Linked DNA regions of Anolis sagrei. The protein of the gene in region 2 purifies or fractionates together with the protein of the main gene of each other region. This does not show direct contact. Links are inferred from orthologs where the notes say so. Each region holds a gene or a part of one and is shown on either strand. Other genes may lie near its edges.

What was found.
Region 1: the proteins of MAPK8IP1 (region 2) and MAPK9 purify together in Homo sapiens (affinity purification with western blotting; 4 studies listed by BioGRID and IntAct, counting the BioPlex papers as one, with this or other methods). This does not show direct contact. The link is inferred for Anolis sagrei from reciprocal best matches to the Homo sapiens genes MAPK8IP1 and MAPK9.
Region 3: the proteins of MAPK8IP1 (region 2) and MAP3K7 purify together in Homo sapiens (pull-down; 3 studies listed by BioGRID and IntAct, with this or other methods). This does not show direct contact. The link is inferred for Anolis sagrei from reciprocal best matches to the Homo sapiens genes MAPK8IP1 and MAP3K7.
Region 4: the proteins of MAPK8IP1 (region 2) and MAP2K7 purify together in Homo sapiens (affinity purification with western blotting; 3 studies listed by BioGRID and IntAct, with this or other methods). This does not show direct contact. The link is inferred for Anolis sagrei from reciprocal best matches to the Homo sapiens genes MAPK8IP1 and MAP2K7.

What each region holds. Positions count from the first base shown.
Region 1 is NC_090022.1:87,597,314-87,604,997, reverse strand, and holds the start of MAPK9 (mitogen-activated protein kinase 9), read right to left. Parts: upstream 3,017-7,684; 5' UTR 2,877-3,016; intron 1-2,876. UniProt on the Homo sapiens protein: Serine/threonine-protein kinase involved in various processes such as cell proliferation, differentiation, migration, transformation and programmed cell death.
Region 2 is NC_090021.1:277,861,548-277,868,478, reverse strand, and holds the start of MAPK8IP1 (C-Jun-amino-terminal kinase-interacting protein 1), read right to left. Parts: upstream 3,022-6,931; 5' UTR 2,655-3,021; coding exon 2,569-2,654; intron 1-2,568. UniProt on the Homo sapiens protein: The JNK-interacting protein (JIP) group of scaffold proteins selectively mediates JNK signaling by aggregating specific components of the MAPK cascade to form a functional JNK signaling module. Required for JNK activation in response to excitotoxic stress.
Region 3 is NC_090021.1:104,198,682-104,205,867, forward strand, and holds the start of MAP3K7 (mitogen-activated protein kinase kinase kinase 7), read left to right. Parts: upstream 1-4,164; 5' UTR 4,165-4,394; coding exon 4,395-4,484; intron 4,485-7,186. UniProt on the Homo sapiens protein: Serine/threonine kinase which acts as an essential component of the MAP kinase signal transduction pathway. Plays an important role in the cascades of cellular responses evoked by changes in the environment.
Region 4 is NC_090022.1:112,614,067-112,621,754, reverse strand, and holds the start of MAP2K7 (dual specificity mitogen-activated protein kinase kinase 7), read left to right. Parts: upstream 1-4,665; 5' UTR 4,666-4,721; coding exon 4,722-4,845; intron 4,846-7,688. Other genes in the region: volume-regulated anion channel subunit LRRC8D-like, read left to right, coding at 299-1,597. UniProt on the Homo sapiens protein: Dual specificity protein kinase which acts as an essential component of the MAP kinase signal transduction pathway. Essential component of the stress-activated protein kinase/c-Jun N-terminal kinase (SAP/JNK) signaling pathway.

The DNA.
Region 1 (7,684 bases), on a different chromosome or scaffold from region 2:
CGCTAAGATTTCATGGCGGGGGGGAGGGGGGAGGCCCGGTCGTAACTATGAGTTGTTTGTACATTGGATGTTTATAACTTGAGGATGGCCTGTATAAGTAAACTCGGTTTTTTAAATCATCTTTTGGGTAGCTACAGTAGGTTACTTTGATATTATTTGTATAGATGAAGAACAGGGTACTGTTTTTCCTCTGGGTTTTACTGAAGCTAAGAAGAAAACAGCAATTCTACCATACACCATTACATAAAAGAAGACTGGAGGTATGCGTACACAAGTTTTGTCCAGAATACATGGCAGTTACATACTATTCCTGAACTGTATTATTTCTCTCAAGCACCCAAGGGAAACAGGAATGAACCACCACAGAATCTTCCAGTAGTGATTGAATACTAAAATACAGCTGGTCAAAAGTGAATCATACATTGATTGGAGCACATCCAGGTATGAACCAGCAGTAAAGTGCCACTGCAAATGCACCAAATGGCATCTTATGTCACTGTTGTGAAAACTGAAGATTGTATAATGCTTGGTCATGTTCTATGATATATATATGTAAGAAAATCTTCAAATAAAAAAAATCACAAGATTAGCTAACATATATTATTTATTCATTGAAATGTAAAATATGCATCTGCACTAAAATTAAGTAATACTCCCTAAAACAAGAAGTACGCTTCCATGTCTACTAAACTGCAAGAGCAGAAATTACATGATCATTCCCTATAAAGTATATAAATTAGAAGTTACTGATACTATGACATTGCATGTACTGGTAAACATGTGCGCTCAAACCATAGCATATAGCTTATTAACTATGCTAGGTCATTGTCGCCTTCATGAGAAACACATGTGAAAGTAAATCTCACTGAGTGTATTTGTGTACAACAGAGTTGCATGGGAATAGATAACAACACAATTTGTTATAGAGGTGCAGCTCCAAAATGTCAGCTAGTTTTGGTTTTCTGTAGATTTATCCAACAGAAAACATATTGGATTTGGATTTGAGTCTCCATGATTGCAACATCTGTTGTAAACCCTACATTTACTGATTGCACAGTCAACTTATATAGTAATCTGACAAGTCAAATCTCCCAAAATCACTTTCCCGCTGTCTTAGGAATTAGTGATTTCTCCCAATAGTGAACATATGTTCAAGAAAGTTATTAATGTATTTTTCATATAAGGAAAGTAATCGATAAACAGTAATAAAATTGAAGAAAATAAAATAAACATCATGACTGAGACATACTATAGGAAGAGAACAATCTTTTGCTAGTAAAGAAACTAACTGCCCTAACCAATCAGTAGAAACAAATCAGTCCAACAACCAATCTTAAAAGGCAGTATATGAATTTGAGGACAGCAGGATATAACACAACCCAGACTTAACAATCTCACATACATAACTTTTTAAAAGAAGAAACAAACAGACACCTACATGCAAAGCAAAGTAATAATGATGATGATAACTATTTTATTCTTATATCCCACCACTATCTCCCCAAAGGGACTTGGGGCAGCTTACAGATGGCACAAACAAACATAAAAGTAAACACAACGTAAAATACAATACAATAAAACAATGGACATATAAAAACATCAATTCAGACTGCAATCCTCTAACCGTGGAGGTAAATTGATGGCAGCGTGGCCAGGCTATAAACACTGGAATAAAATAAGTGCCATCCACGAAGAGTCTAGAACTGCCTCCAACACCAACATCTCCAATAAAAATAGTGCAATATATTGTGGCTGGTTTGAGATGGCATTTTGTAGTTACACAAAATGGAACTTGTGCAATTGACCCTTAAAAGTAAACCTCATTAGTAAATTCATTTGAAACCCTACTTTCAAATGAACAGGTGCAGAATTGTGCTACTAATTCCCATCTCCTTAACTACCCCATGTCATAGACTAGGGTGGGAATCATAGTACCTTCCAGATGTTGTAGGGCCTCAGCTAGCATCACGCCTAGATTTGTGCTTCAACACCTGGAGGCCCACAAGACCCTATTTCCCAGTGGTTCTCAACCTGTGGGTCCACAGATGGTTTGGCCTACAATTCCTAGAAATCCCAACCAGCTTACCAGCTGTTTGGATTTCCGGGAGCCGAAGGCCAAAACATCTGGGGTCCCGCAGGTTGAGAACCATTGCTATTGCCAGAAGAGACAGCTGGATTCACTGATTAATGCATGATGTTCACCTCAAGCAGGGATGATGAAGAGGATGTGTGAGTGGACCAGGAGGGGAAATGGCTTTCCTGAAAGTCTTTCTCCTCGCCAAAAAAGGAGACCTTGCCCATCGCATCCTCCAAACCTTAAAACAAGGGTCCACAACCGTAAGCCAATGCTGAGATTCGCAATTCAACATCTGGATGCCCACTATGGCCAGCAGAGACAGTTCCCTGCACTGATGATTGCAAGATGCTCACCTCCAGAAAGCGCCATATGCCTAGCCCGTGAAAACGATGGGTGCAAGTGGCGGGGGAAGGGGGGGGGTGGCTCGGGAGAGGCTGCTGGCCCAAGGAGGAGGCCTGGCCCTTCACGAACAAGGGCCAAAAACCCTCTCCGGGGCCAAGCCGCATCCCAAGCCTCTTCTCCTGGCCAAAGAGCAGGCGAGGCGGAGGGGAGTGCGGCCCCCGAGAGGGGAATGGGCAAGGCGCGGGGGGGGGGTAAAGGTCGCCCCGATCTCCGAGGCCTCGTCGGGCGAGTCCCAGGCCAGGAATGGCTCTAGGCGGGGGCGCAGGCCGAGGCGGATGGTCGTAGCCGCCGCCGCCGCCCCCCTCAAGGTGGCTCGGCCCCCCTCCCCTCCTCCCCGCAGAAATCCCGCTCGCTCCTCGGCCGCACCGTCGGCGGCGCCTCCTTCGGCCTGCCTCACCTCCGCGACACCCGCTCTGGGAGGCGCACTCGGCGGCGGCGGCGGCGCTCGTTCCCTCCAGAGGCTCCCCAGACTCTCCAGCTGCAATGGCCTCCCTCAGTCTCTCACAGGCCGCACCAGGCCCCGATCTGCTGACGGACACCCGCGCGCCCAATCCGCGCTGAGGACCTCCCAGGCTCAACCAACCAGCCCTCGGAGGCGGGGCTTAAAGGCCACTATATATGGCGGGAGGCGCTCTGCGCGCCTTCCTGTGTCACCGAGGGAGGGGAAGGAAGCAGGGAGGGGACGAGGGAAGCTTTTGAGCTCATGTCATCTGCCTTTGAATTTGACACTCTCCCTCACTGTCGAGTCCGGAGTCCTATTATTATTATTATTATTGACACAAAAGCACAGTATGTCACAGCAAACGAGATCTATATGCTGGATTTCGTATGACAAAATCACAAGTTGAACACTTCTCAAGCGTCTAGGACTATTATTATTGTTATTATTATTATTATTATTATTATTATACAGACAAAAACACAGTATGTCACAGCAAATGAGAGCTATATGCTGGACTTCATATCACAAAATCACAAGTCGAACGCTTCCCAATTATTATTATTATTATTATTATTAGAAACACAAGATGAGTTCACAGCAGAGAAGATCACTCTGCTGGCTGTTGAATTGGATCACACGTCGGACACTTCCCAAGTGTCTAGGACTGTGTGATGTATCAGCAAATAATCTGTGCAGATCCCAATAGGGTGGCCCTCTGCAGCTGGCCGATGGTAATTTTGTCAGCGCCAATTGTGTTTAAGTGCAGGCCAAGGTCTTTAGGCACTGCACCCAGTGTGTCGATCATCACTGGGACCACCTTGACTGGCTTGTGCCAGAGTCTTTGCAGTTCAATCTTTAAATATTTGGCAGTGTGGACTTAGATAACTCAATTCAAAGCAGATGTTGTGGGTTATTTTGCCTTGATATTCTAAGTTATATGGTTGTGTGGAAGGGCAGGAAGGAAAACATAATCAATATTAGTTATCAAAATACTTGAAGGGAAAAACTGAGAGGAACATGTTTTCTTCTTTCTGTCTGTACTCATATGTACAAACCAAAAGGACTTTCCAAAGCCAGTGAGGCACCAATTAATAGATGTTTATTATGAGTTGGATCCTACTTCAGTATACCTGCAGCACATGATGTTTAAATGGATGCATCTTAGTTTTGGCTAATTTGAGTGCTCCTGGTCCACTTTTTCCATCTTGACCCAATCCTGGTCAGTGTCAGCATATAAATCAAATTGTAGTTCAAAAAGTGGTATGTCATGGGCAAGGAAAAACAGCTGACTCAAGCACTATGATTGTAAATAGAAAAAAGCACCCCCAACAATGAGATAAATCTGCCTTGACCTAGCAATGAGATACATATTTAAAGTGGCAGTTTGATCACTCTGTCCTCATTTCAATTAATTGTGTTAATTGTAACTGTGTGTTTTTTAAAGGAATTTTATTAAATTTTATATAGAATACAACGAAAGAGTGAGAACAATTAGGTATAGAAAAGTAAAGAAAAAAGAGAGAGGGAAAGGCCAATAAAGTAAGAAGTAAAAAAAGATATCCTAAATAAAACCCTACAAAATCCACATACAAAAAAAATAGAAAAATAAAAATAAAGAAAAAAAGTGACTTCCATTCCATCTTCTTGGATAAAATATTCTTGTTATTCAAAAATATATTTTTTTTATTAAAGATAATAAAATTGTCTCTCTTGTTTTTTTATATTCGCAAATTGTCCAGATAGTCATGAAGATTGTCCCAATTCGTTCTTTTTATTATCATGCCTGTATTTTTCTTCAACAAAAAAGTCAGTTCGTCCATGTCCTTTATTTCTCTGATTTTTTCCACCCAATCCTGTACGGGTGGTACTGTGCCTTGCTTCCACTCTCTAGCAAAAACAATTCTAGCAGTGGTCGTTGTATATGTAAAAAGTTTGTCCTCTTGTTCCGTCAAAGATTTCAGGGTAAGGTTTGAGCCAACCAGTTTTTGTGCTCATTTTATAGTTGAAGGCCATTCACAATTGCCATTCTCAATAGAGGGAGAACATGATGAAGGGCAAGCATGTAGATTTATAGGGTTTATGCTGATTTGAAGGCATAGGACTGGAGAAATGGCACATGGTGCCTTGTATGGCCAACTCATCTCTGTTTGCCACAATAGTGTCCTAATGGCTCACTGACAATTCTATAAGGAGTAAAAGTAATAGCTCTCTCCTATTAATTCCCAGCAAATGGTGCTTCCCTGAAGTTGATAGTTTCAAACAACATACCATTACTTGGGGCCATGCATAAGACATATCTATTTGTGTAATTCCCTTTCAAAGTTATGCAAGCTAGTGGTAATTACATCTTGTGGCAGGTAATTTTATCAATTAACTGTGATTTGTATGAAGATATTTGCCAGGAAGATTCAGAATTCTAGTGTAGGAAAGAAATATCTAATTTGCCCCTGTATATAGGTACTTATATTTCAATCGTGGCTTGCTATCTATCCATATACAATCATACACAGCAGATGCCACCCTAAACACAAGAATCCAAAGGTGGCATAGACAAACACAATTTAAGACAGACTATATTGTATGGTTATACTTTTTAGAATAGGCAATTTAAAATAAGTGAGAATCACCTGAAACTTTGCAAATGATAAAATTGAATTAAAATCAAGTTGACTTCAAAGGGTTTAATAAAAAAAATGTGCTTACTCAGTGCCAGAATGCTTTGTATCAATGTTGGATACCCAATGGATCTCTGAGGGAAGGATATTCCACAATTTGTGAATATCCGTCCTATCATACATGCCTGCCCTCTTTTAGTTTGGGATGCAAAGGCTGCCTTTTTTTTAAAGGATGTTTATGTACACAATTCTTTTGGGGCAATTAGTACTTCAGTTTTCAATAAGATAGACAGGTTAGAATCTTTGGATACAAGAGCACAGAGGCATCACAAAGCTCCTTTCTTGCCCAACTTCATCCTTTTATATCTTTTCTATAACTAGCTACCACCTTAGTATTTCTGGCTATTGGTTTTTGTTGTGTATTGTCTGAGCTTTAAGGCTGATGTTTTTATACCCATTTATTTGTGTTTTATCTGATTATGTTTTGTTTTGGTATGTTTTATTTTAATTGTATTTTGTTTTTAATGGATTGTTTTGCTTTTATGTTTTTGCCTTATGTACTGAGTCATGCCAGCCGCATGACCTTGGAGGTGTCTACGGACAATGCCGGCTCTTCGGCTTAGAAATAGAGATGAGCACCACACCCCAGAGTCGGACACGACTGGACTTAATGTCAGGGGAAAACCTTTACCTACTGTGGACGTTTTGTCCCATGTCTAAGCAGCCCTGAGTCCCTTTGGGGAGATGGAGGCAGGGTATAAAAATTATTACCACACACTAAATTGATAGTGTCATTGAGCTATACAGTTGTTTCTGTTTCCTTGAATTCTTTATCCATAGATTCAATCATCCACGGGCTTGTAAATATCCCTGCCCGCCCCCACCCAAAATCCAAAAAACAAACCTTGATTTTGCCATTTTGTTTAAGACATTAATTTACCATAACATTGTTTATAATGGTACTTGAGCATCCATGGATTTTAGTATCCAAAGAGTGTCCTGGAACCAAACCCCAGCTAATACAAAGGGCCAATTGTACTCATATTGAGATATACTCGTTGAACCACCTCAACATCTCTTTATAGGTGAAACCCCAGCTGCTCAGGCATTTTCACTGTCACTGGTGATTTCAGACTTTTAAAATGTTAAGCTTTTCTTCTCTGTAGAGCCCTATCCTAAACTACAATTTTGAATACCGCTAAAGCAAGATCCAGGGCCCACTTTTCCATGCCTAAGACCTCTGTGTACTCCTTTCCCCACAAATTTGGTCCCACAAGCTTGGCTGTGAGACCAAGCTTTCAGGATGATGCAATAAAGCAGCAATAGGAAACCTTACCAGGCCAATTAGATTGGACGCAGATGATCAAGACAGTTTTAAACAGTGTATTTTAATATTTAGACAAATGTTTTTAATGTTTATGTATGCATATAATGAATTCTTATCCTGGCATTGAATGTTTGCCGTATATATGCTGTGCTCCGCCCTGAGTCCTCTTCCTGGTTAGAAGGGTGGAATATAAATGTTTTAAATAATAAATAAGTAATAAACACCAAACAAACTGGTCTAAGCATCAAATTTTCTAACACCTTTGACTTTTCAAAAGGCACAGGGGAGGCTAACCTTGTTTAAAAGGGAAAACCACAGTTCCAGGTATAGCAGTTTCAGAAGGGGGATTTTTTCCCTTTGCTTATTTATTTACAGTATTTATATACTGCTTTTCTCACCCCTGGGGGGACTCAAAGCGGGTTACACAGAAATAATGGCAAAATTCAATGTCTTACATACATAAACCAAATCACAAATCAACACCATATAATTAATCATAAAATTAATAGGACAATTTACTATAAGATAAGGAAAAAAAGACATTTAAAATGTGAAATATAAGAATTAAAACACCTAATAAAAACATTAAAATCACATGATCCAAACGCGTAGACCAGGCTATTCCAATGTCGATGCGTGTACAGACATGATCCAGGGGTCATAGAAAACAACTTGGAAGGTTGCTGGCTACTATTGTGAGATACTAAGAAAGCAAGACGGAGTGCTGTGGACTGGCATGTGTACAGTGTCTAAGAAGGAATCCATGAAACACACACTGTAATCAATATTTTCTTTAATTGCATAGCATTTGAGCTGTTCAA
Region 2 (6,931 bases):
TGTTCCTAACTCTGTTCTTTTCTTCTCCAGATCTGAATGCTTATGGAAGCAAATCAAAAGAAAACAAAATTGTGTGTGTGTGGTGGTGAGGTGGGGCGGGAGGACATGGCATGCTTCCCTCTTTTTTCATGGAGATCAGAGATTGCTCAGGGTTGTTTGAGTTTTCTGGGCTGTATGGCCATGTTCCAGAAGCATTCTCTCCTGATGTTTTGCTTGCATCTATGGCAGGCATCCTCAGAGGATGTGAGGTCTGTTGGAAACTAGAAAAATGGGGTTTATATATCTGTGGAATGTCCAGGGTGGGAGAAAGAATTCTTGTCTTTTTGAAGTACATGTGAATGGCCATACAGCCTGGAAAACTCACAACAACCCAGGGATTCCAACCATGGAAGCCTTTGACAATACAGAGATTGTTCTTCTAGCATTGTACGTATCTGGACTAGATGAAAAGAAAGCAGTGGTTTCTTTTTGACATCTGAAAATGCCACGTGACAAAGTTTTATGGTCTCTTGTAAAGGTTAAATATTAGGCTTCTGAAAGCTCAAGCTTGTAAGAAGCAGACTTGAATAATGTAAGCTAATCTAGTGGCGTCATCACTGTATCAGAGATGTTTTTATTTGTAGGTAGCTTCTTTGCCCATTACTGTTTGTGACAAGTCATAGACTGGATAGGCTGGAGACAGGGTTGCCTTTTCTATGGGGAATCTTGGTTCTGGAGACAACTTGATAATTGAAGGTTTTCATGACCGGAATTACTGGATTACTGTGAGTTTTCTGGGCTGTATGGCCATGTTCCAGAAGCATTCTCTCCTGACGTTTCCCCCACATCTATGGCAGGCATCCTCAGAGGTTGTGAGGATCTCACAACCTCTGAGGATGCCTGCCATAGAAGTGAGTGAAACATCAGGAGAGAATGCTTCTGGAAAATTGCCATATAGTCTGGAAAACTCACAGCAACCCAATCTTCTCTTACTAACATTCAGATCCCAAGATACACAAGACAAACAGACAGCTCTACTCAGACAAAACCCATTAAGTCACAGAAAATCTCATTTACAAAGTCATAATCAATCACTAAAAACCCCATCATCTTCCATTCCCAGCCCCATGAAAAGTGACATATTTTCTTGCAACCAGTCCAGGTTGAAGGCACTCTAAAAATCTTGCAACATGGAGAATCGATTGAGGAGCTTAGTTTCTCTTCCAGTTCAGAAAACATTTCCCTCTGCAATGCTTTCAAATCAGAAAACATACTGGATATTTAGAAACCAATAATCATAGGTTTGTAAAGACAATTCTTAATTCCCACAATTAAAAAGCAGATAAACATAGAACACAAACCAGACACAAGCAATTAAATGAGCAAACATGGAGGAGCTGAATTGCTACCCAGAGGCAGGATGTACCTTCAGTGGTAGGATCATGTTACAATGTTCAAGAAATCATCTCAATAGCCTATGCAAAGATGCTTGAAACAGGTGGTTTCAAGGCCTGTCTGGTTTGTATTGTCACTTCATCCTTGTAAACATGACATTTTTTCTCCTAATGGTTCAAATCCAATATGGTGTCTAATATTTACCACCCTGATTCAATCAGCTATAAATCTGCCTTCAGGATTGGCTTCCAGATTCACTTGGAAGAATAGGGAGAGGGGCTGCTTCACGGATGTCCATGTTTATCAGTGTGGCGGTCGCTATTTCCTGGGAAGATGCAAGATTTGTCTGTGGAAGCTGCTGATATGGAAGGAATAATGAGGGGAATATGTAGGGAGGTCAGAAACAGTGTGAGGTAGTGCTTGGATTCAGATAGGGTTGTGTTGGGTGTAATACTGTGGGGCTGAGATAAGGAGAACAAGGAAGCAGGGGTGTCTGTGCCAGGCAGCTTGAATGTCAGTGATATTTGGAAGATGTGAGGAGGGACAACACCCCCCCTTCCAAATAACCTCTTTCCTTCCAAATCAGCAAGACAAATGCCACTCCTCCTCCTCCTCCCCCCAGCCCTGGTTGTTCTGTTCCAGAGGCGCACACGTCAGCCACACTCCTGTGCCCCACCTGTTCCAGAAAGGGAGAGGCGCTATTGGCACCCACCTGCTGGGCAATGCCACCATTCAGAGGATGTGTGGGGAAGATAGATTACCCACTGCACCCATTATTGCCTCTTGGTTCCTTAGAAAGGTGCCTGAAATGGAGGAAATATGGGAATGGGGGTGGGTGGGTGTTCCATTTCTCCCCACCACCTCCTCATCTTTCAGTGCAGAGCATCTTTCACCTGCATCCTTATAATAAACATTCAGCTGAAATAGACAGATTGATAGACAGGCAGAGAGGAAGGATGGAAAGGTTCTTTCAAAGCACATAGGCTAAAGGGGGGGGGGTGTTGTGGGAGGGGGTCTATGAGAATCCATTGGGGAAGGGAAGGTGGGCAAGTGGGGGGCAGAAAGGAGGCTGTGGCTCCCCCTTTTCCTCCTCCTCCATCTCCTCTTCCCTTGTCCTTCTCCCCCAGCATCTCCTTCTGGGAAGGGCCCCCAAGGATGAGAGAGAGGGGAAGGAAGGAAGGAAGGCTCCCCTACCTGAAATTGGGAGGCGAGGCGAGGTGCAAGCCCAGGAACGGGGAGGATCCGGTCGGGGACGTGGCTCCTTTCTCTCTATCCGCCATTCTCCCTCTCCATGCAGGCGGGCAGGGGAGGAGGAGGAGGAGGAAGATGAAGAAGAGGAGGAGGAGGCAAGAGGCTGCTGATGCTGGTAGAAAGGCAGAGAGAGACAGGCGAAGAAGGCAGGGCTGAACTGGTGCTGCCCCAGAGCAGGCGCGGTTTCAGCAGCTGGGAAGGTAGGAGGAGAGCAGGGAGCGGGTGAGGAGGGGGAGAAAGCAGGGGTCCCTCTCCTCCTCCTCCTCCTCTTCTGCAAGGGGAGCTTGGCCCCCTCCCCTCTCCTCTCCTCTCCTCGCTGGCGCCCCGGGGAGCTGCGGCGGAGGCAGGTGAAGCCGGGCCGCCCCTCGTCGCCAGGCAGGTGGCCGCGAAAAGGAGGGGCAGCACGGCGTCAGCAAAGGCGGAGGAGGAGGAGAAGGAGGAGCCCCTCCAGAAAGGACCAGGGGGAAGCAGGTGGGTGGGTGGGAGGCAGGGAGGGAGGGAGGCCAGAAGGAAGGGAGGGAGGGAGGGAGGGAGGGAGGAAGGAAGGAAGGAAGGAAGGAAGGAAGGAAGGAAGGAAGGAAGGAAGGAAGGAAGGAAGGAGAGATTGATGGAGGGAAGGAAGGAAGACGGGAGGGAGGGAGAGAAAGAGAAGAAGGAGGGAGGGAGAGAAAGAGAAGGAAGGAAGACAGGAGGGAGAGAGAGAAGGAAGGGAGGGAGAGAAAGGGAAGGAAGGAATACGGAAGGAAGGAGAGAAAGAGAGAAGGAAGGAAGGAGGGAGAGAAAGAGAAGGAAGGAGGGAGGGAGGGAGAGAGAGGAGGAAGGAAGGAAGGAAAGAGGGAGGCAGAGAAAGAAAAGGAAAGAAAAGAAAAGGAAGGCAGGCGGGAAGGAGAGAAAAAGAGAAGGAAAGAAAAAGTGAAGGAGAGAAAGGGAAGGAAGGAAGGAAGGAAGAAAAAAAGAAGGAAAGGGCAGCTCTTCTTTGTGAAAAGCTAGGGAGGCAATTAGAGAAGGAAGGGCTTGACTGCTGGCCCTTCCAGACAGGCCCAATATCCCAGGATCTGATCCCAGCTTTTCTGTTTATCCCAGATTATCTGGCAGTGGGGATTCATATCATCCAATTTAAAGTAGAAAACCTAGGATCAGATCCTGGGGTATAGGGCCTGTCTGGAAGGGCCCTGGGAAGATGGGCTCACCTTCCAAGCCTTTCGGGGAGGAAGAGATGATAATGATGATGGTTGTGGTTTATTATTCCAGTATATTTTAACTGTATATTGTTGACTGTTATATTATGCTGTAAACCGCGTTGAGTCGCCGGCTAGGCTGAGAAACGGCGGTATATAAGTATTTAAATAAATAAATAAATAGAGTTTCACTTATCCAACATAAACGGGCCGGCAGAATGTTGGCTAAGTGAAAAGGTTGGATAATAAGGAGGGATGAAGAAAAAGCCTGTTAAACATCAACATATATTATGACTTTACAAAGTAAGCACCATAACATCATGTTTTACAACAAATCGATAGAAAAAGCAGTTCAATACATAGTAACATTATGTAGTAATTACTGTATTCATGAATTTAGCACCAAAACATCTCAATGTATTGGAAGAGCAGTGAAACTGGGCAGGAGACAGACTGCGTTGGATAATACAGAATGTTGGATGAATGAAGGTTGGATAATCAAGACTCTATTGCTATTTTGAGTATTCCTTCTCCAAAATGCTTAGGACCAGAAATGTTTTGGGTTTCAGATATTTTTTCCCCAGGATTTTGGAACCCCTGTCTTTTCACAGACATACATCCTTCATCTTGGAGATGGAACCCAAGTCTAAACATAACATTGATTTACGCTTCATAAACATCTTATATACAAGCTCATGTTATAGACAATATTTTTCAATAATGTTATGCATGACACGATTTGGATACATTGAACCATTAGAAAGCAACAGTTTCAGTCTCTCAGCCACTCATGTGGACAGTTTCAGGTTTAGAAGCATTTCAGGTTCCAGAATTCTGGGTAAGGGGTGCTCAAAATGTAATGATGATAGAACTAATTAAATCCCATGTCCTCAGAAAGTCTTTAATGACAAGCTGTTTGTTGTTGTTGTTGTTGTTCAGTGCCATGCCCCCTTGAAAGTCTTTGATTATGAAGATAGGACAGGCATGGGCAAACTTCGGCCCTCCAAGTGTTTTGGAATTCAACTCCCACAATTCCTAACAGCCTCAGGCCCCTTCCTTTTCCTCCTCAGCCAAGTGGCTGAGGAGGAAAAGGAAGAGGCCTTAGGCTGATAGGAATTGTGGGAGTCGAAGGCCAAAAGACCTGGAGGGCCGAAGTTTGCCCATGCCTGAGATAGATAGCAATGACAATTCAGTGCCAAGGGTGTGTGCACTGCATTTCCCTGCTTAAACATGTGAGCGAGGGGAGGTCCAGTGAAAAAGAAGGGAATCTCAAATAAGAACCACCAAGTCCCCTATTATTTAAGGCCACTTTTTTCTTGAGGATTACTGGGATGAAATCGTAAGGGTATGGCTTCTTTGTATTGATTACATTCATGTTCATATATGTTTCAATTTACAGTGATCCCATTAATTTGTCTTTGGCAAGGAATACTTAGAGGTGGTTTTGCCAGTTCCTTCCTCTAAAAAGTAGCTTCCAGCTCTTAATTTTCATTGACCATCTCCTCTGCTGTTTATCTAAGCATTTCAAGGCAGTAGAAAGGCAACTCCGCCTCACTGTCAGCAGGGAAGGAAGCTTAAGCAGAGCCAGAATGAATGAGCAATGGTTATCCAGTGAGCGCACGGAAGAGCAGAAATTTGAATCTGTGACCAGCCTCTCTTCCTAACCAAATACGGCTCTACCTCCACTCTTGCTCTCAACTTCAACAGGATTCGTATATAGGTGATCTGGGAAGGAATTCCAAGCATGAGTAGCAAGAGAGAATAAGAGGAAGGAAATCTTTCAGTACCTGTCTTAAGAGGTGAGCATAAAAGAAGGAAAGATTATGGATAGGATATAAGAAGAAACAGGCAGAAACATGGGGTAAAATGAGTCAAAATTGGATAGGGTGGAACAAAACCATAAAGATCTTTCAAGACAAGGGCAACGTCCTCATGCTAGATGGCAGATGGAATGAATGACTAAATGTAAAGTCCTGAGAAAAAGGACTGGAACTCTAGTAATGAGTAAGTTGAATAATGTAATGTACTGGCTTTTTATTCTATTGCAAGAGCCTGAAATTAGCAATATTATTTATTTATATTTTTTTAAAGAGCAGCTTTACAGAATACACATATGGCAAACATTCAATGCCGATTATGCAATAACAGGACAGACCACACAACAGAGGTAAAGGCAGTTTTCCCCATCTTATTTCTGGCATCTTGAAGACTGTGCTTGACTCCAGCCATGGTTGGGGTGGAGGTATTTAAGGCACGTGGAGGTATTTAAGGCACACATAAGAAAATGCCAGAAAAAATGCCAGCCATTTGATCAAGGAGGAAGTTTACAAGCAAAGCTCTTTGGCAGGGAAAGTGGAGTGGCAGCACCCTCCACCTCTCCCCATGGCCGGATCCAAGCACAGTCTCCAACATGCGGAAGATGGGAAAGCCTATATATACCTCTTTTTATGTACAGTCATGTGTCCTGTCAATGTATAACAGCACTGAATGTTTGCGTGTATGTGTTCTGTGATCCACCCTGAGTCCCCTTCAGGGTGGATCACAGAGTGAATACTGTATATAAAATGGAATAAATGAAACTATTTCTAAGTACGGAAGTTCTTCCTTAGGAAAACCTCATCAAATTCATAGGGTCTCCGTAAGTCAACCGATGTCTTGAAGGCTCATATATACAAACTTCAAGACAAAGACTATCTCATAAGGTTTTTGTTCCCTACCAAACCCACAAGGTAGTTATTAACTGTACAAAGATCAACCAAAAATACTATCCTTCTTAAAGCATAACAAAGAAAAGTCTCCCACTGCAGCAATGTTATTACAACGAAACCTGAATAATTTGTTTCCTTTTCATATCACAGAATCAGCTGCTTGAAGCTTCTCAGTCCGATGGTTCTTACAGGCGGGAAATGAAATAAAATCCAAGGATTATTAAACCAATTTAAATGTAACACTATGACACTAATATATAGAATATCTTAATATTTAGAGACAACCAGGTATTCTGCCTCAGGAAAGCTTTCTAAAAATCTACATGGAAATCAAGCACTCATCTGGAACCATATCTGCTATGATTTGTGTCAGAAAAACACTGTCACATCACTACAGCCTTTTTAGTGTTATATAGAGCC
Region 3 (7,186 bases), about 170 Mb from region 2:
CACCAGTCCTTTTTCAAAGGGAGATGGTATTTGTGGCACAAGTTCCAATGAATAATCTGAGCAACGATGTTATGCCTCTGCTTGTAGTCTGTCTGTGTGATCTTCTTGCAGGAGCTTATTATTATTATTATTATTATTATTATTATTCATTTGTTAAATGTCTCTCCTCACAGCTTGAGGCCAGATACAACATGGTTAAAACACACTGATAAAATATATTAAAATTAAATTAGATTATTCTTTCCATCATTTTCCTATCTATGATTCTATGATATCAAAAATGGTAAAAGGCTTGTATCCAGCATTTTGGTCATGGAAACAGGACAAAGAACTAAAACTATTCTTTCTACAAGCTTGCTCCCCAGGCAAGTGCTGAACCCGGGGGGGGGGGGGATCTTTCTTTTTTTAATAATCTTTATTGGGGGAGTTGTGTGTGTGTGGTGGGGGGGTCTTGGGTGCATCTATACCCTGGAATTAGAATCACAGAATAATAGAGTTGGAAGAGACTGCATGGGCCATGCAGGAAAAGCACAATCAAAGCACTGCTGGCAGATGGCCATCCAGCCTCAGTTTAAAAGCCTCCAAGGAAGGAACTTCCACTACACTCGGATGCAGACAATTCCACTGCTGAACAGCTCTTACAGTCAGGAAATTCTTCCTAACATTCAGGTGGAATCCCCTTTCCTGTCATTTGAATCAATTGCCTCAAGTCCTAATCTAAAGGGCAGAAGAAAACAAGCCTGATCCCTCTTCCTTCTGACACCCTTTCACATGTTTATACATGGCTATCATGTCTCCTCTCAGCCTTCTCTTCTGCAGGTTAAACATGCCCAGCTCTTTCAGACGCTACTCATAGGGCATGGTCTCCAGACCTTTGATCATTTTAGTCACCCTCCTCTGGACACTGTCCAATTTGTCAATATTTTTGAACTCTGGTGCCCTTTTATCATGCTCTTTATCACATATGTCCACTGCTCGTTAGAGAGCAGTTTTATACCACTTTTAACCGCTATGGCTTGATTCTATGGAATCCTGGGATCTATAGTTGGGTGAGGCAGCAGCACTCTTGAGCAGAGAAAGCTGAAGACCTGGTAAAACTAAAACTCTTATGATTGCATAAGACTTGGGTCCCTTCCACACAACCCTCTATCCCAGAATATCAAGGCAGAAAATCTCACATTATCTGAGTGTGGACTCAGATAATCTAGTTCAAAGCAAACATTGTGGGATTTTCTGCCTTGATATTCTGGGATAGAGAGCAGTGTGGGATAGAGGGCAGTGTTTGTTTTAAGTACTTTTTTGTTATTATATGTTTATATTGATGTTTTACTTATTGTTTTGATTTGGTTTGCCTATCTGTTTGATGTGTTGTCAAAGGCTTTCATGGTCAGAATCACTGGGTTGCTGTGAGTTTTCCGGGATGTATAGCCATATTCCAGAATGCTTCTGGTCCAGGAGCATGGCCATGCAGCCCAGAAAACTCATAGCAACCCTCTGTCAGTTGGTTTTTGTATGGCATTGAATGTTTGCCACTTTTTGTTTGGGAAATGCCCTGAGTCCTCCTGGGGAGATAGGGCGGGTTATAAAGAAAGGTGATGATGATGATTAGTATTATTATTATTATTATTATTATTATTATTATTATTATTTGAAACACAACAAGATGCGTCCACAGCAAACAAGATCACTCTGGCTGTTATATTGGATGACACGTTGGACACTTCCCACTGTGTGATGCATCAGCGAATAATGCATGCAGATCCCAGTAGGATGGACCTTTGCAGCTGGCAGATGGTAATATTGTCAGCGCTGATTGTGTTTAAGTGCAGGCCAAGGTCTTTAGGCACTGCATCCAGTGTGCCAATCACCACTGGGATCACCTTTACTGGTTTGTGCCAGTCTCTGCAGTTCGATCTTTAAATCCTCATATTGTGTCAGCTTTTCCAGTTGTTTCTCTTCAATCCTTCTGTTGCCTGGTATTGGAATATCAACTATCCATACTCTGTTTTTTAACACGACTGTGAGGTCAATATTATTATTATTATTATTATTAAAGAGAAAACCTGGGATCAGATCCTGGGATATAGGGCCTGGAAGGACCCCTAGTTTAAAGCAGGTATTGTGGGTTATTCTGCCTTGATATTCTGGGTTATATGGCTATCTGGAAGGGCTCTAACCCATGTTATCAATTCAAACTGCATTAGTTGTACAGGATTTACCCCTCTGGCACCGTTGGCTTCCATTCAGTGCTAGCGGAGAGTAATAACAATATAATAATAAAACTTTATTTGTATTCTGCCCTCTCTCCCCGAGGGGACTCAGGGTGGATTCCAACAAAAAAAAATGGCAAATATGTAATGCTAAAACACATTCTTAAAGAGAATACAAAAACAAACTATTCAAATACCAAAAGTAAACAAAAGCTACGACAAAATTGAACAAAAATTAAATGTTAACATAACCCACCAGTTACATCTTGTATAAAAATGTGCATAAATTATATAAACACACATAATGATTATTGAAACAGTTATTAAAATATTTAACGATGAGGACAGTAGCACTCCCTCGGCGCATCTACACAGTGGGGAATTGATACTTTGACAACACTTTTAACTGCCAGGGCTTTTCTGTTGGTCATGAGGGTTCTGTGTGGGAAGTTTGGCCCAATTCTCTCGGTGGGGTTCAGAATGCTCTCCGATTGCAGTTGTTGTTTCTTGTTCAATCGTTTCCAAATCTTCGTGACCTCATGGACCAGCCCACACCAGAGCTCCCTGTTGGCCGTCACCACCCCCAGCTCCTTCAGAGTCAAGCCAGTCACTTCAAGGATGCCATCCATCCATCTTGCCCTTGGTCAGCCCCTCTTCCTTTTTCCTTCCATTTTCCCCAGCATCATTGTCTTCTCTAAGCCAGGAGTCCTCAAACTAAGGCCCAGGGGCCAGATACAGCCCCCGAAGGTCATTTACGCGGCCCTCACTCAGGGTCAACCTAAGTCTGAAATGACTTAAAAGCACACAACAACAACAACAACAACAACAACCTTATTTCATCAGCCAAAAGCAGGCCCACACCTCCCATTGAAATACTAATAAGTTTATATTTGTTTAAATTGTTATTCGTTTTAATTATTGTATTGTTTTAAAGGGTTTTTGCACTACAAATAAGATATGTGCAGTGTGCATAGGAATTAATTCATATTCAAATTTTTATCAAATTATAATCCGGCCCTCCAACAGTTTGAGGGACTATGACCTGGCTCTCTGTTTAAAAAGTTTGAGGACCCCAGCTCTAAGCTTTCCTGTCTTCTCATGATGTGGCCAAAGTACTTCATCTTTGCTTCTACTATCCTTCCCTCCAATGAGCAGTCGGGCTTTATTTCCTGAAGTATGGACTGGTTTGACCTTCTCGCGGTCCAAGGCACTCTCAGAACTTTCCTCCAGCATCACAGTTCAAAAGCATCTATCTTCCTTCGCTCAGCCTTCCCTATGCTCCAGCTCTCACATCCGTAGGTTACTACAGGGAATACCATTGCTTTAACTATGCGGAACTTCGTTGCCAGTGTGATGTCTCTACTCTTCACTATTTTATCGAGATTGGTCATTGCTCTCCTCCCACGAAGTGTCTCCTGATTTCCTGGCCACAGTCTGCATCTGCAGTAATCTTTGCACCTAGAAATACAAAGCCTGTCACGGCCTCCACATTTTCTCCCTCTATTTCCCAGTTATCAATCATTCTTGTTGCCATAGTCTTGGTTTTTTTGATGTTTAACTGCAACCCAGCTTTTGCACTTTCTTCCTTCACCTTGGTTAGAAGGCTCCTCAGCTCCTCCTCGCTTTCAGCCATCAAAGTGGTATCATCTGCATATCTAAGGTTGTTAAGGTTTCTTCCAGCAATTTTCACCCCAGCCTTGCATTTATCTCTGATTATAGGTGAACTATAAATCCCAGCAACCAAAACTCCCGAATGCCAAGGTCTATTGCTATGGGATCCTGGGGGCTGTAGTCCTATAGGGCCCCCCGTTTCCCTTGCCGAAGAGTGCTGCTGCCTCCCCAGACGAGAGCTCCCACCCGGGATCCCACCGCCTTGAGGCCTAGCAGCGGGGTGGTGCCCGGCTGAGCCTCCCTCCTTCGTGGGAGGGCGGGGGGAGGGGGCGGGGCGGCTCCGGGAAGCGGGCGGGCAGGAGGAAGAGGAGGGCCGCTGGCTTCCTTGCCTCCTCCGCCGCCAGCCATGGCTCCGCCTGGGCCTCGCAGGCAGTAGCGGGAAGAGGCCGGGGAGCAGGGCACAGGCCCGGCGGAGGAGCGGCCCTCGCCCTCCCCGCTTCACGCCGAGCCCGCGGGGCCATGGGCCTCCGGTGAAGCCGGCCCGGCGGAGGAGCCTCTTCGGCGGGCGGAGGGATGTCTTCGGCCGGCCCCGCGGACATGATTGACACCCAGCCCGTGCTCAACTTCGAGGAGATCGACTACAAAGCCATCGAGGTGGAAGAGGTGAGGTCCTGGGCCGCGCCGGGCGTTGGGGCGCCCAGCCTTGGGGGACTTCAACTCCCAGGAGCCCCGGCCAGCCAGGACAGCACTGGGGCATTCTGGGAGACGAAGTCCAAAACACTCGAGGGACTCAAGCCTAAGGCCCCACCGGCACTGCATTGTATGGCCTTCGCTCAGGCACGGGCAAACTTCGGCCCTCCAGGTGGTCCGGACTTCAGCTCCCAGCAGCCCCAAACATCCAGGACAGCACTGAGGGATTCTGGGAGATGAAGTCCCAAACCCCCAAGGTTGGTGACCACTGGTGTTCGCCAGAGGTGAGGACTAGGCCCCTTCCACACAACTGAAGAAAATCCCACATTATCTGCTTTGGTTATAAGACAGTCTGGACTCAGGGCCCTTCCAGACAGCTATATAACCCAGAATATCAAGGCAGGAAATCCCACAATATCTGCTTTGAACTGGGTTATCTTGAGTCCACACTGCCATATATTCCAGTTCAAAGCAGATATTGTGGGATTTCCTGCCTTGATATTTTGGGGGCCCTACCACACAGCCCTATATCCCAGAATATCAAGGCAGAAAATCCCACAGTATTTCCTTTGAACTGGGTTATCTGAGTCCACACTCAGATAATGTGGGATTTCCTGCCTTGATATTCTGGGATATAGGCCTGTGTGGAAGGGCTCTCGGATAACTCGAGTCAAAGCAGATGTTGTGGGATTTTCTGCAATTATATTGTGAAGCCCCTTCCTCACAGCTACATAAAATCCCACATCTGCTTTAAACTGGGATATATTAACAGTGTGGACTCAGATAACCCAGTTCACATATTGTGAGATTTTCTGCCTTGAGATTCTGGTCCCCTTCTGCAATAGCTAAATAAAATCCCACATTATCTGCTTTGAACTGAAATATAAAACAATGTGGACTCCAGGCCTTCCACACAGCCCTCTATCCCAGAATATCATGGCAGAAAATCCCACAATATCTGCTTTGAGCTGGGTTGTGTGAGTCCACACTGCCATACATACCAGTTGAAAGCAGATATTGTGGGATTTTCTGCCTTAATATTCTGGGTTATATGGCTTTGTGGAAGGGCCCATAGACATTGCCACCGTTCATATTGATTTCAAAGGATGTATATACTACACCACGGAACAAATGCAGCTTCCCATCACTTTAACTACCTTGACTCAAATAAGTAAATAAGCAAAACTTTATTTCTCTCCCACCCCATCTCCCCATGGGGACTCTGGTTTCCATCAAAAGTGGTAAACATTCAGTGTCATAATAAAAACAGAAAAACAACAAATCAGTCGACACAATAAATAAAACAACATCAATATAAACTAATAATAACTAAACAATAAGACGACTGCAATAAATTAACAGCACATTCAACAATCATACAAATCACAAGTGAAACAATAATAGCAAATTAAAAACAGTATCAATAAAAACATGATTAAAAGCCATGGCAATATTAAATTCTTATTTCATAAGGCCAGATTTTTGACCATTCACATCTCCATGAGCCTGGGTTATGGGTTTTTTAAGGTTTTTATTTGCTTCCTAAAGGAGGACAGCAATTGGGCCATTCTGATCTCCTTTGGGAGAGAGTACTAAAGGCTATTTTATTTAGTACTGGGAGTTGTGGTTTGGTGAGGAGCCATCACTCTTTGGCAGAGAAGGCCTAGTAAAACCAAATCTCCCATCATTCCAGAGCACTGAGTCATGACAGCTAAAGTGATGTCAAACTGCATTTCCTCTACTTTATTTAGATGCTCCCCAAAACTATTCCTTACGTCAGGCATAAGCAAACTTTGGCTCTCCAGATATTTTGGACTTCCAACTCCCATAATTCCTAACAGCTACTGGAGGGCCAGAGTTTACCCATGCCTGCTTTAAGTCCTTGCTTGGGACAAAATCCATGAAGAAATATGTAGAGGACTGCACTGCACATTGCTATCAGGACGCCAGTGTTATTCAGGAAATGGTCTTTTTCTCCTGCATCCCACCCCTAAGTACAACTTCTTGGTACTTCTCACTCCTTAGTGAAGATGAGAGGACCACTGGACATAAGAAATAAATAAATACATTAGAATTCAAATCACATCCCTACTCAAATATGGACAGATTTTTGAGAGAAACCAGGACTCAAAAGTTATTTAGAGTCAGATCTGGCAAACTCAGGCTCCCTCTACACTGCCATATAAAATCCAGATTACCTGCTTGGAACTGGATTATATGGCAGTGTAGACTCATATAATTCAGTTCAAAGCAGATAATCTGGATTATCTGCTTTGATGATCTGGATTATATGGCAGTGTAGAAGGTATGAAGTTTTTAGGGATATTATTGGGTCACTTCTTATCAGTTAGTGAGTAGAGAAACAAGAGGTAAAATATAACAAAACAATAAAACCAATACACTTTTTCAAGTGCCCGTCCAGAAACCTGGTCTTAATTTTAAATCTCAGGGTAACCTGTGGAGATTTGGCTCACATAAAGGACCTGAGTATTCCCTAAAGGTATGCATCAAACAAATAAAAGCCATGAAAGACTTCAACCACACTTTTTAAGAGACTGCTGTTTTTCTACAGCAGGTTTAGTTATTTTTCAAGCGATGTGTTCAAAGCAAACATGATGTAGTGTTTTGAATTTTGGATTATGACTTTGAAGGCCAGGGTCTGAAAATCCTCACTT
Region 4 (7,688 bases), on a different chromosome or scaffold from region 2:
AACTGGCTTGATCTTGAGGTTCTGTTATCTTCTGTATGGTGTCCTGAAATGCAATGAGCACGGAAGGTTCTGTAAATTTTCAATGGAGGCTATAGTAGAAAATGGCGCACACATTAACTCATAAACAGCCTGGGAGCAAGGGAGGTGGTTGTGAGAAAATTCCTAGAAATATAAAATCCAGTTGTAAACACAGATCTGGGCTCTTATTGTGAATAGAATCACACAGGCTCTTTTATCAGTGAAAAATGGAAGAGAAAAACAATGACGTTATTGAATTCATATTCTTTTTTTTCTAGTGATGTTTACTCTGACAGAAGTCACCTTCCGCAATGAGAGCCATGTTCGGTTCCAGATATTAAAGCCTTGGTGGGATGTCCTGATGGATTACTTAGTACTTGCAATGCTGATGGTTTCGCTTCTCTCTGGGACTTTGCTCATCTCTGTTGACCAAGTGACATGTCTGCCTTTGAGCAACAAGCCAAATGAGACCACAACAGTTACCTCTAAACCTGGAGCTATAAATCCTGCCATCAATGAAAAAATTATGGCTGGAAAAAGTGGCCATCCTGTGAAACTTGACTACCAGCAATACTTGTTTATCAGCCACATCTGTTATCAAAAGGCCTTGCCCTGGTTTTCAAAATATTTCCCTTACCTTGCACTTGTTAACTCGATGCTTTTAATGGCTAGTAGCAACTTCTGGTTCAGGTACCCTAAGACTTCATCAAAAATCGAACACTTCTTGTCTATCCTCATGAAATGCTTCGAGTCACCTTGGACTGCCAAGGCTCTCTCCGAGATGGCCTGCCAGCATGTCATAGGCCGACCCAAGACCCCTGGTGCAGGAGGGTGCCAAAACCAACTGATATCACCTTCCTCTTCTCCTATTCTAGAATGGAAGGACAAAGAGCAAGGCTGGGCACTCTTTGAGAAGATCTGCAGATTCAGGGCACACACTGAGAGCGCCAGCTTGATTTACACAATCTACACTGGACAAACCATCTTCAAAGTTGCAAAGGTCCTAACTGTGCTAGGCTACACCTACAGTTATGTAGGATCCATTGCCTTTAAACACATTTGCTGGTTAGACACAGATAACCTCATTGGCTACTCTACCTTTCTTTGTACCCATAGTTTGGCTTCCATTTTGCAGAAACTGATGGCTACTTATTTATTCTTGGTGTTCCTCTATGGGCTTGTTGGGATGTACCCCCTCTTATGGCTGGTACGACAACCGCTGCTCAAGTATTCTTTTAAGCAAATGCAAGAAGGCAGCCACTTAATTGACATCCCAGAGGTATACAATGATTTTGCTTTCCTGCTGCACATGGCTGACCAGTGTGACCAACTATACTCATGGCGCTTTGCCATCTTCCTTTCAGCAATGAGTGGGAGCTGCCCTTCAGATGCTGATCTTGACCATGATTTGGGTATTGGAGGCTGGAGAGGACATAATTTTCTTACCTTACTTACCAACACACAAACGCTTCCCAAATCAAAGCTTGGTAAAGTTCTTTTATGGGACACCCCCCAGAATCTCCCCACACCCACAAGTGTCTGGCAGAAGCGGTTGGGGACTTGCTGTCTAAAGAAGTAACTCTTTAGTAAATCCACTGCAAGGGGATTTGGGGACTCGCTGTCCAAAAAGTAACATTTTCCAGGCTACTGAATAAGGACTCTAAACTTTCCACCAAACCCATCATTTCCAATATCATAAAGGACAACACACCAGAACAACTCAACTCTTTTGAAAAGAGTCAAAGAGACAAGATGATCCACATCTGTCTGGTTTTAAGTTTTCTTTTTCTTCCAGTCAGGGCAATTTTTGGTAATGTTATGTTTCCATAAATTCTTAAGACACAATAGGCGAGCAAAAGATATATGAGACTTGTGTCACTGAAGGACCTAAGTGGGAAAAACATTCAGATCATACGAAGAAATGTCACTAAAACACTGCAGCAGCCTAGCAATTATTAAGGCAATTGGAAAAGAGGAAGCTTACTAATGGACTAGTAGTGTGGTGTAAAGTAAGATATAGCTTCTTACATGATATTAACTTCCCACAATGTACCCAATTTGGGAAAAAAAACACAAGGAAAATTTTACAGGAATATAAAAAAGTCGGTTTTACTAATGGGAAAGTCTATTGCCACTAAAAGTACTGTTAATACATAGGAGCTCAATGTTACTGTTGTACCTTAGCATAACATAGTATAGTATTTTCAGATGTCACCAGACTCCACTGGCTGCCTGTCTATTTCCAGGCACAATTCAAAGTGCTGGTTATGACCTAGATCAGGCATGGGCAAACTTGGGCCCTCGAGGCATTTTGGACTCCAACTCCCACATTTTGTAACAGCCTACTGGCTGTTACGAATTGTGGGAGTTGATGTCCAAAACACCTGGAGGGCCCAAGTTTGCCCATGCCTACCTTAGATGGTTCAGGTCCAGGCTATTTGGCTGACTGCGTGCCTTTGTACAAAGCTGTCTGAGTCCTGCGATCTTCAGGAAGGCCCTTCTCTCAGTCCCACCTCCACTCCAAGCTTGGTTTGTGGGGACAAGAGAGCGGGTCTTCCTTCTCGGTGGCTGCCCCACGACTCTGGAACTCCCTTCTACCCAGCAAAGGCAGATTGGCTCCCTCCCTGCTGTCCTTCTGGCGGCAGGCTAAAACCTTCTTCTTCAGGCAGGCTTTTAAAGAAGAAGGCCTTTAAGATCATTTCGGGGGGTGCTGTGGTTTTATATATTCTTATGGTTTAAATCTGAATTGTTTTTAATACTGATGATGTTTAATACTGTTTTAATATTTTTAAATTTTAAATTATATTGTAATGCTTTTAATGCTAGATGCTTTGAGTATCCTTATGGAGAGAAAAAGTGGGATATAAATAAACATCATAATACTAATGATATTAACAATTTTGTGATCCCTGATGTCACCAGCTCCCAAGAGACTGTAACTACAGCTTGGTGGCAATTCTTTTTCTTGGATGGTGCATTATTTCTTAACATGCCTTTTCTATTAGAAGTCCAGTCTTCCCCTTTTAAAAATGTGAGACAGAGATTCAAAGCAACTAACAAAGACCTAGTTCTCTGAGCTTTCAAACTGGGTCTCTTTAATCATTGTGTTACAAAAAATATGTACTGAGGCATCTATTGGTATCTGATGTATCTCACAATGACAGCATATAAAGCAGCTTCTCAAATGCCACAGACTGTGATCCCCAGTGACACTTTATTATGAAGTCAAAAATGGTACCAAGTTGTTTGTTCCTCATTTTTATTTCTTGCCTTCCTATTTGATTCATCAAGTGGGATCTGGAGGAAATGTGTACAGAACTGGAACTGCAGATATGCTATTTTTCAGGATTACAGGCAAGAGAGACACATACCAAGGATATTCCATTCTGACTTTCTGGTTTTAATTTCCAGTTGACACGCAACATTAATTTGGTTTCAAAAATACATAGGCAAAGGTTGAGACTCTCAAGCGGATACACTGCTTTCTGCATCACCATTTTGGCCACAAAGCCTCCAGGGAGTCCTTCTCTACTTGGGCATCAGAGACAGCACTGTGTTGCCTCTCCCGCCAAAAAGGTTTGCTAGAATCAGCCAAGATGATCCCACTTCTGCTCCAAGCTCCTGCAATCCTATGTTTTCCCAGAATCTTGGGGATTGTAGTTTTACAAAGACTGCTGGTGCTTCATCAAATCACAAAATAATAATAATAAACTCTGGCACAAGCCAGTCAAGGTGGTCCCAGTGGTGATCGGCACACTGGGTGCAGTGCCTAAAGACCTTGGTCTGCACTTAAACACAATCGGTGCTGAGAAAATTACCATCTGCTAGCTGCAGAAGGCCACCTTACTGGGATCTGCATGCATTATATGCGGATACATCACACAGACCTAGACACTTGGGAAATGTCCGACGTATGATCCAATACAACAGCCAGCAGAGTGTCTGCTATGGACTCATCTTGTTGCATTTCAAATAATAATAAAAATTAATATCACTTAATATTCTTTATATTCAACATTTAATGTTATTTAAAAATAATAATAATAATAAACAAGTGTTTCGATTTGTGATTTTGTGATACGAAATCCAGCATATATATCTCGTTTGCTGTGACACACTGTGTCAGTAAAATAATAATACACTTTTATTTATATCCCGCCACCATCTCCCAGAGGGACTCGGGGCGGCTCACACATGTCACTCAAAGTGTGACATGCAAAATACAACAAGTGCAAAATAAAACATAAACAATAAACAGTCAACACAACATCATACATTCACTATACCCCCTGGCAAAAACAATAAAATACAGAAATAAAGGATGCATACAAGTGGTATCAAACTGCATTACTTCTCCAGTGCAGATGTACCCAGTGTCTGAAAGAAAAGCTAACTTCTCTGCGACTTCCAGACGTGCTGCTCCTGTCCCTGAGAAAGTGGGGGAAGCGCATGCGCGGCAGATCTCCAACACGTCCCGTAGACCGAAGTAGACGTTCGAGCCCGGCGCATGCGCAAGAGAGGAGACTGCCAGGCAAAACAAGCGCCGGGCAAAGCCGGAGCCCAGCCTGGTTTGCGAAGGAGGAGGAGGGCGGGGGGAGGAGTACGGCGGCCGGGTTGGTTCATGTGGCGCCTGCGCAGTGCGGTGTTTGTGTATTCTGGCTGCGCGGTGGCGGCGTCGGCTCCGGGGGAGGGGGAGGGGGAAGATGGCGGCGTCCTCGCTGGAGCAGAAACTGTCCCGCCTGGAAGCCAAGCTGAAGCAGGAGAACAGGGAGGCCCGGAGGCGCATCGACCTCAACTTGGAGATCAGTCCGGCCCGGGCTCGGCCTAGTAAGGGAGGGCCTGAGGGGGGAGCGCTTCCGCGGAAGGGCCCAGTGTCGGGTGGGACGGGCGGCGCGGAGGAGGGCGCCTGAGCCGAGGGGAGGCCTGGCCTCGCTTAAGCAGGGGCTCGGACTGGGCTGGCGGGGCAGGAGGACTGAGGGGAGAAGTGGGGCCGGGGAAAGAAAGAGAGCAAGGCGTGTGTGTGGGGGGAGATCTTCGTGGCGAGGGAGACTCTCATAGCAGACAAGGCCGGCGTGCGGCGGGGGAGCCACATGCCTGGACTGGCCCTTATCTTTCAAGGCGACCGGTTCAGGGGGAAGGAAGGAAGGAAGGAAGGAAGGAAGGAAGGAAGGAAGGAAGGAAGGAAAGTGTCAGGAGCAAAAGGGGTGGGCCACAGAAAGTATACAGATACAGATAAAGAGATTATCTTGAACCAATGTGTTTTGTGATGGGGCAGGAGTTGTGGATGATGGCAATCAGAAATACTTTTTCTTTAAAGATGTGGGGGTCCCCTTAGTTCAGTGTTGGGATCACAACATTTAGCAACAATAAAAGGTCAATGTGTTGTCGAAGGCTTTCATGGCTGGAATCACTGGGTTGCTGTGAGTTTTCCAGGCTGTATGGCCATGTTCCAGAAGCATTCTCTCCTGAAGATTCGCCCACATCTATGGCAGGCATCCTCAGAGGTTGGAAATTCTGCAACTGAGGTTTATATATCTGTGGAATGTCCAGGCTGGGAGAAAAACTCTGGTCTGTTTGAGGCAGGTGGGAATGTTGAAACTGATCACCTTTAAATGGGGCCACAAAGTGAATTCCGTGACATGCGAATGTGGAGAAGAGCAAACCACAGACCACCTATTACAATTCAGTCTGAGCCCTCCCACATGCACAATGGAGAACCTTCTAATAGGCACTCTAAGTGACAAGCTACTGTCAAAGGACATTTAATATAATGCTTTGTGTGTGTTTTTAACTTTGTGTTTTTAAATACATTGCAACTGTACCCTTGGGCTGCTTCTGATACAATAAATAAATGAAAACCTTAATTTCAACAGAAAGGAGGAAACCATGAAAAAGAACAAAATCTGGCTACCAGTATTAAAAAACTCTAAAATCAGGACAGTTAATAAAGAACAACATTCACAAACGGGAATTCCAGACAAAAAACAATCAGGGCCAGCTAATTACCTCCTAACAAACTATTCCCCCAGGCATGAAGCAGCCAAACTTGGAAGCTGCAAGGTTATTCAATGCTACTCAAGTTGATCAAGTGCAACATTCACAGTTGCCTCCAACTGACAAGAGTTTTTTCTCCCATCTTGGACATTCCACAGATATATAAAACCCACTTGCCTAGTTTCCAACAAACCCCTCAACCTCTGAGGATGCCTGCCATAGATGTGGGTGAAACATCAGGAGAGAATGCTTCTGGAACATGGCCATACAGCTCATTAAACTCACAGCAACCCAATAAAAGGTTAATTCATGATGTCAGTGTTATTTTAGACATTTACACAAATGTTAGTAAGAACATTTGTGTTTACAGTGGACTCTACAGAAAATACTTCAGCTGCATTTCATAAGAAAGGAAAATCAGACTGTTTAACTAGCCTTGTAAATGCAGATTTTTTATCTGTGAATTTTTATTTCTTTTTTATACCTATTTTATATACCTTTATAGCCGGGGTTGCATAAAACTTTCAAAGGCAGAAAGAGGTTGCAAGTGGGAAAAGTTTAAGAAACCCTGGTGTAGTGAAACAAATTACTTGGGAGAACTGGATTTGGGATCCCTCAGATCACAGCACTGGAAGGAGGGGTTGGGGGTGGATTGAAAGTTTGGTGTGCAGAAATAGCTACAAGTGAAGTTCAGTTCAGAGTCATTCTGTCATATTTGTCTAATATTTTTGTATGGATGAAAGTTTACAGATGTTTTAGAATAATGAACTAAATTCTAACTTAAGAATTAGAAAAGTCTTGAGTGTAAGTGTCAGACAGTGTTCCTCTGATTTCTCATACCTACAGTATAGGCCTTTTTCCTTGGCTGAAATTAAAGAGTCTCTGCTTCCCTGCATCCTGTTTTCAGTTCTGAAAACAATGGTACAGCATTGTCCTTGAAGAACAGTCTAGTTAATATTGTCTCTTGGAGCAAGGTGCTCTCTGTTGTGAGGACTTTTCTGGACTACAGTGATGTTTTTGCGATCCGCATGCAGTAGCCAAATGTAGAATAAGTTAAGAACATAAGAAGAGCTACTTGGATGAAGCTCATCAAGTTAGGCATGTAGTTCCTACAATGGACCAACCACATTTCTATGGGGAGCCCTTAGTTAGGATGTAAATGTAGTATTGCTATCACATTTATATTCTCCAACAACTGGTCTTGAAATATATACTTCCTTTGATACTAGAAGTAGTTTGTAGCCTCCAAAATGACTGGTTAGTGATAACTATATCTTCCATGACGTTACCTAATTCCTGTTTATATATTTTCACATTTATAGCAATTGCTGCATATTGTGGTGGCATATTCCCTAATTTAAATATTTGGTGTGTGAATAAATGTTTTGTCCGGTCTGTTTTGAATTGCCTACAGTTTGGTTTGCTTGAATAATCCAGCGTTTTAGTAATATATGAGAAGATGAAAAGCTTTGCCTGCCTGCTTTTTGCCCACTTTGCTTATATGTATACATACACATCAGGAGCCTTCCTGCTTACCACTTCTCCAGGTTTTGTTTTCTTAAACCAAATGTTGTAACTTTTTCTCCTAGGGAAATGGCTCTAATTATTTTATTATTTTGATTGCCCTTTCTGCGCCTTTTGAAGTTGTACTATTCTTTTTGAGTTGTAGTGACATG